Canis lupus familiaris: one gene and its partner. The protein of the gene in region 2 purifies or fractionates together with the protein of the main gene of each other region. This does not show direct contact. Links are inferred from orthologs where the notes say so. Each region holds a gene or a part of one and is shown on either strand. Other genes may lie near its edges.

Region 1 (3,748 bases), on a different chromosome or scaffold from region 2:
GGAGGGGGTGCAGGGCAGCTGCCTGAGAGAGCCAGGAGGCAGGTGGGGTGGGGCCCTCCCTCATTTCTGAGGTCCTCCCCAGGTGGTGGCAGCAGCAGGACTAATGCCAACACGGCGCATAGCAGGTGCCAGGCCCGGGGCCATGCGCTTCACACTCTGTGCCCTTGTGGCCATCCTGTGACGTGGCCGTTATCATTCCCATTTTGCAGAGGAAGAAACTGAGGCCCAGAAAGTTAAGCAGGTTGCCCACGGCCACAAAGCCTGAGTGATGGAGCTGTGTGAGCAGCAGGCATCCCACTCTAGCAGCTGCTCCCTGAACCAGTCCTCGGTACTTACGCTCCAGATACAGGGCAGCTGCTCAGCAGCCCCTGCTCCACTGCCCCCCGACCCCTGGGGACCGGGCACCCTGGGGATCCAGATGTAGCCCCGTATCACTGGCTGGGGGTCTGGTTCCAGTCTGCTCCCACCAAGGGACACGGAGAGCCCTTGGAGGCCCAGGGTTCTGTGTCTTGCCCGCTGCTGCCGTCTCAGCACCCAGCACAGTGTCCGACATCCAACCACCAGCCACCAAGCATCCTCCGCTGGCCAGGCTGCTTCAGGCCGGGATTCAGGGAAGGAACAGCAAGGAGAAATTCCTGCTGCGTGGGCCCCACGTTCTTTGGGGAGGGAGGGAGGGGAGGCGGACAACACATGGTGCCCTGACAAACAAGGTAAGAACAGAGCAAAGCCCTGGGGAGAAAACAAGAGAGTGAGATAAAGGGCGTGTGAGGGACAGTGAGGGCCAGGTGGTGCTGGTAGGGCTGCACGTGGGTGACTGCGAGTGGGGGGCGGGCGGGGAAAGGATTCTGGGCAGAGGGAAGAGGAACGTCAAAGACCTGGAGGGTGGCATATACCTACAGAGTTGAAGAAAGCAAAGAGGCCAGTGGGGTTGGACCTTGACAAGGGACCCGGAGAGCAGAAGGAAATGGCGTGGGAGCCATCTGGGACCACCATGAGAGCTTGGGGTTTTAAGTACAGAGAACACTCGGCCTTGTACTGGGTTCCCTTCAGGGACATCCTCCCCAGCCAGAAGCCCATCAGACTCACTTGGACTCGGGGCCACCCACAAACACCCCCACCCGCGTAGGTCCATGAGAACTTTTCTTCCCAGATCACACCCTCCCAAGGAGCCCAGAGACAATCCATTCCAGTCCGGGGAGTGGCTCAGCCCTGCCCAGCCCCCTGCTTCCAGGACAGGAACGTCCTTTAACAATCTACAGTGTAACAACCCAGGGGCAGGAGCTCTGGAGTCCGTCAGACCCAGCTTGGAACCCGCCTCCTGTTACTCAGCAGAAGGTACCCGAGCCTCAGTTTTCCTGTCTGTAAAGTGGGTCTATCCAGGACCCACCTCACAAGTTCGCGGTATAACGAATCAAGAGCGGCGAGCACGGCGTTAGGCCTCATTAAATATTAGCCAAAGTTACGATTGCCCGAGAAGCAGTAGAGCCTGGTACGACTCGGCCCAGAACTCCGGTCTGAATCCCAGCCCCGCAACTTCTTCATTAGATGATCCTGGGCAGATCGCTTGGGCTCTTAATAACAGCGCCAACCCTATAAGGCTGCGGAGAGGGTTAAATACGTGTAAAGCGTCCAAGTGACCGGGCACATAGTAATTCACGAGTGCTTGCTCTTCTTTTCGTTATTTGTGGGCGCGGGCTCCCCTTTACCCGGCCAGGAAGCACCTTTGATGGCTCTGGGGCATCCCTCCCGTCCTCCCCAGCAATGGATCCCACTGGGGTTTCAACTGTTGACCCTCAGGTCCATCATCTGTCACACTCTGACCTTTGCCCCCTCTGGCCACGCCCCACATTTGAGCCCTTAAAAAGGTGGCCCCCCAACCTCAGTCTCGGCATCTGCTCCGCCGGCTGCTGCCGCAAACCCGCAACCCGCCGCCCCGGGGGCTGTGATCTCCGACTCTGGTAAGCGCGCCCTCCCTTCAAATGACTCGCTTTGACCCCCATTTTGTGACCCTCGCCCCGACCCCCTCCAAAGCTCCAAAGGGCCCCACTTCAAATTTCGAACTTCGAGGTCCCCTTCGCCACGCCCCCTTCGCCACTCTGACCTCTGACCTCTTGTACACCACCCTCCCCGGCGGCACTGACCCCCGACCTCTCCGACGCGACCCTTCCCTCTTCGAGTGAACTTTGACCCCCGCGGCCCCGCCCCCTACTTGCGTAAACGCTCTCCCACCGCCACGGCCCGGCCCACCCCAATCTCCAGGCCAGACCGCTGATCCTACCGGCTCGGCGCTGCAGTTGCTCGCGGCCTAGCAGCTCGACTCGGAATCCCGAACCCTCACACCGCCCTCAGCTCTCTTGCGCCGCCGCCACCGCGGCCACTGCCGCCGCCATGTTAAATCCCCAACGAACATCCGGGGCTTTCCCCCCTCGCCGCCCACCAGTCCCCATAGCAACGGGGCTGACCGGGCAGGGGGCAGGGCCCGTCCAGGGGCGGAGCTGGGCCGCCGGCAGAGCCCGCTCCAGCCTCTGATTGGTGCAGATTGTCCAATCGGAGCCCTTCGGGCAGAAAATGCCGAGCGGAGATTGGAAAATTTGGAAAGGGTGCGGGGAAGCTGGCTCCCCGCCCAATCAGGTTCTTAAAGGGGAAATGACCATCCGCGTGCGGCAGTCGCACCTTACACCAAAAAACCGAGTAAGCGGGTGGAAGGCAGTAATGGGTAACAATGGCCAGACACAGTTACTAAGCACTTGTGTTCCAGACACCCGGCCAAAAGCCCCTTGCATTGTCTCACTAAATGCTCACTAAATGCTCACCAAACCTCTGTTGTATTATTTTTTTTAAAAGACTTTATTTCTTCATAAGAGACACACACAGAGAGGGGGACACAGAGGCAGAGGGAGAAGCAGGCTCCCTGCAGGGAGCCGGAGGGGGAGGGTCTCGAGCCCAGGACCCAAGGATCACGACCTGAGCCAAGGCAGATGCTCAACCCCTGGGCCACCCAGGCGTCCCAACCCTGTCCTAGTATTAATACTCATCTTACAGGGACAGAAACAGGCTCACAAGGGTGAACTAGCTGCCTCAGGATTACAGGAAGTAGATAATGAGTTTTGAACGACAATCCGAGTCCAGGAACTTGAACTGGAACCAAGACACTGTTTGATCTTAATCTTTTCTGTAAGCTTTTAAAAAAAATAATTCATCCAAAAAAAAAAAAAAAAAAAAGGAAAATACGAGAAAACAAACAACAACAACAAAATCCATAAGCTAAACCCAGACATCCTATCCTATGCTTTCACTCACTGGGTCCCAGCTACGTTGCTCTTTCAGAAAAGATACCGGGCATTCCCCTTCCTCGAGGTCTTTGCATGGGCTGCTCCTTCTGTCCGGAATAGACTCTTTCCCTTGGCATCCTCAGGGCTCCCTCCCTTACCTCTCTCAGCGTTTTACTCAAATATCACCTTATCAGGGTGATTCCTTCCTACCCTAACTAAAGCAGCAAACATCCCTCTCCCATGCTGCTAAGCCCTTCCCCTCATCTGCTTTTTCTTATTTTCCTGCTCCAATCGCCTTCTAACAAACTAGATAATTAGCTAATTGTAGTTATTTGGGTTGTTTCCTCTACTGAAATGTCAGCTCCACGAGAGCATGGATTTTTGTCTGTTTTGTTTCCTGTGCATGCCCAGTGCCCAGTGCACGATGGGCCTGTAGATGCTCAGTAAATATTTGTTGAATGGATGCTTGGCTGAGG
Region 2 (3,648 bases):
AAAAAAAGATAAAAACATCTCCGTAAAAGCTTGTGAATATCATCTATTTCTTCCTTTAGAAACCCTTAATTCTAGTTTTTTGACACCGTTTTTCGTAATAAAATTAAAAAGGAAAAAAACTAAATAATGTTCAAGTAAATTAACACCCTGAGGAACTGCCTATTTCATGACTGCAATTTTGCATATTCTAAGTCACAAAACCTATTTAATAAAACACATAAATTACTAGTACCCACAATTTTTAAATTCAGATAATTTGTTAATTTTACTAAAATGTCCGAAGACTACTTAAATTTTTAATAAACTATGTTTCATAATTTTTTTGTTTCCTAATTTCAAATACAAAGCTCTTCAATGAAAATTAGTCTGTCTCAACTAAATTTAATCAACTGTTCAACTTACAAAGTGATAAGAACTATAGCAACTGGATTTCACTAAATTTAAAACAGGATTAAAGAGAGATCTATCAGAAATGTAATGAAACATCTCTATACAAAGAACCCCTCCAACTATGAAAAGTAGTTTCAAGAGAATAACCCTATTTCATAAAATGCTTTATAACCAAGAAAAAGTGTTATCTTTGGTTCTTTGTAAAAATTGAATGGACATATAGTTACTTTAATTCCTGGTTATCAGTGATATATAAGTAGCATTAGAAAATAAACCTTATTTCTATTTACTTTTATAATCTAGCAAAAGTTTAGTTATAAAAGTTGGCATGAAATGTCTTTAAAAAAAAAAAAGAAAGAAAGAAAGAAAGGTTTCAACCCAGGTCACCTTCTTTGTTATTTTCACCCTCAGAAAAATGTCCCCAGAGGTCACAGGGGTATATACCTTACTTATAGGTCAATACCGCTTACCAAACTCTCCACATGTTTTCCTTTAGCCCCTCAAACAGGCAGAGAGATATTAGTCTTCTCTGAGCTGAGAGTGACTGTGAAGAGTCCACAGCTGTTTGGCCATTCTTCTGAGTAGTTATTATTTAGAATACAACAAAATGTCAAAGCTGGAAGGAACCTCAAGTCATTAGTTCAGAGATGGTAAATTGGTTTTGAGTCCTACAGACTGGTAGCGGTTGCCTGAAGTACTGTGTTGAAAAGTAGTATGTGGCTCCACCTGGCTTTGTTGGGTAAGTGTGCAAGTAGATCACATATGCCACACATCTCAAGCCAACCCTAGCCAAATATCTAAATATTTCATAAAGCTAGTTAGCTTTAAAGCGGAGTCACCTAATTCTCACTTTATTACCTAAAGAAGTCTAAAATCTGACTCTATCCTTCTGGAGTAAGGAAACTTACAACATACATGCCCTGAAAAACCCATTTTCAGAAGTACTTTTTAATTTTTTAAAAAGATTTTATTTATTTATTCATGAGAGACACAGAGAGGCAGGCAGAGACATAGGCAGGAGAAGCAGGCTCCTTGCAGGGAGAGTCCCGATGCAGAACTCAATCCCGGAACCTGAGACTGTGACCTGACCAAAGGCTGACGCTTGACCACTGAGCCACCCAGGCATCCCCAGAAATACTTTTAAGTACAATGCTTCCAAAGACAACATGCTGGATTCAGCATGCTGTCTTGACTAACAGACTATACAGCCTCAAGCAATGCAACATATGCTTCAGAGTCCTTAAAGGATCTGCAACTTAAATTGACAAAACTTTTTGTTTCCACTCCACATACCACCAACTATAGAGCTATAGCTCATAAAATGCGCATGCCACACTAGTTTATGTGCCCCATGCCCTCTCCTCAACTCTTCAACAATCTATCATGGATAAAAAAGGATTATTTGGGATAAATAAAGAATAAGAATAAAATCTCCTTTAAAATCAACAATTATGACAAATTTGGGCATTTAGAATAAATATTAACCCCCCATCACAAGACTAAGTTTTGTAAAATAATATTTATAACTAAAAACAAACAATAACAACAAAACAGAGACTATATCAGACCTCTTACAGACAAAAAGCAGGACATTCCATTTGCTTTATAAAATCCAGAGACAAGTTCCTTCTTTAAAGATTTCCAGAGAAAATGGTTCATAAATATTTACTGACACCATCTAGTTTTTTTTTTTTTTTGACACCATCTAGTTTTAACCTCAGGATACCAGTCAGCCAAAGCAGTGATCATGACAATCAAATACAATCTTAGATCCCTAAAATTGAATCTGAGAAAAAGAAAATGAGCTGATTCCTGTCTCCATTTTCCAAAACACAGTGAGAGAAAAAAACTAAGGTTAGCAAATATCATTAGAGACAAAACTTTTAAATCTTTTAACTTTTAAATCTTTGAATATTAAAAAGATCCCCCTTTCCAAGGAGGTCTTTTATATTATTAACATACAGTCCCAAATGGAAATTGTACTTTGAGATCATTTGCTATAAAAACAATAATTAAAATTTGATAGTTTGTTGGGGGATAGGCTGAGTCTAAACTGTAGCTTAGTATGAAGAAATACCAAGGAATTCCTAAGAGTAAAAATATCCAATAGCTGAAAAGAGATGCATTTAACTTCGGAGTTTCCTTACCATCACCCTGCATGTCTGAAGTCCATAGTGTCAGATTATCACGTAACAACTGCATGATAAGTGTAGAGTCCTTATAGCTTTCTTCACTCAGCGTATCCAGTTCTGCAATTGCATCATCAAAAGCTGCTTTTGCCAACCTAAAAGTATTTAATAAATATATTATAGTAATAAAGCCTCAAAACAGAAATGATGTGTTAGAAAAAAAAAAAAGAAATGACGTGTTAGAAATCAATCTTTTTCTTCAGCTATCCCACAGTATATAATACTATCCTGGGTTTAAATACTGTAATAAAGGAAAAATAGATGTAACTGATGAAAATTAATTTTCTATTTAATTTTATAATCTAGCAAATTTGGAGGCATAAAATTGTTAGGAGCACTACTACATTATTTTTTTTAAAAACTCCCCATGTGGGGCTCAAACTCATGACCTCAACCTCGAGGTCAAGAGTCACATGCTCTACCTACTGAGCTAGCCAGGCACCCCAGAACACCACTTCTTACTAGGCTTTTGACAAGCCTATCAATAAACAGAATATAGACTAAATAAATTCTATCCTGAACCAACCAAAATATAGGCATAATAAAAGTATTACCAAGTTCTAGTCAACAGCTCACGTTTTTAAAAAATTTTATTTATTTATTCATGAGACACATACATAGAAGAGAGAAGAGAGAGAGAGAGAGAGCCAGAGACCTAGGCAGAGGGAGAAGCAGGCTTCTTGTGGGGAGCCTATGTGGGACTTGATCCCAGGACCCCGGGATCATGACTTGAGCCGAAGGCAGATATCTGGCTCAACCACTAAGCCAGCCAAGCATTAACAGCTCACTTATTTAATAAAATTTTAATGCAAAAAGATGAAATGTTAGTTCAGTTTATTTCCGAAGAATTTAATGTTAACAGAAGCCAAAAATGGGGGGAGGGGCAATATAGAACCCACAAAAATGTATGTAAGCTATTCGTTAGAATTTAAAAGAAACAACATTTACTGGATATATTGTATGATGTATACCAAGTGATGTGGAACACTGGTGGAGAAACAGAAGAGAGGGAAAAAACAATCTCAGTCCACAGTGAATATCTAGAAAATAGAGGACTGACATATAAAAC

The links. The genes of interacting proteins can lie anywhere in the genome.
Region 1: the proteins of YWHAE (region 2) and PAK4 purify together in Homo sapiens (affinity purification with mass spectrometry; 4 studies listed by BioGRID and IntAct, with this or other methods). This does not show direct contact. The link is inferred for Canis lupus familiaris from reciprocal best matches to the Homo sapiens genes YWHAE and PAK4.

Annotation. Positions count from the first base shown.
Region 1 is NC_049222.1:114,835,479-114,839,226, forward strand, and holds the start of PAK4 (serine/threonine-protein kinase PAK 4), read right to left. Parts: upstream 2,469-3,748; 5' UTR 2,279-2,468; intron 1-2,278. UniProt on the Homo sapiens protein: Serine/threonine-protein kinase that plays a role in a variety of different signaling pathways including cytoskeleton regulation, cell adhesion turnover, cell migration, growth, proliferation or cell survival.
Region 2 is NC_049230.1:45,479,253-45,482,900, forward strand, and holds part of YWHAE (14-3-3 protein epsilon), read right to left. Parts: intron 2,675-3,648; coding exon 2,538-2,674; intron 1-2,537. UniProt on the Homo sapiens protein: Adapter protein implicated in the regulation of a large spectrum of both general and specialized signaling pathways. Binds to a large number of partners, usually by recognition of a phosphoserine or phosphothreonine motif.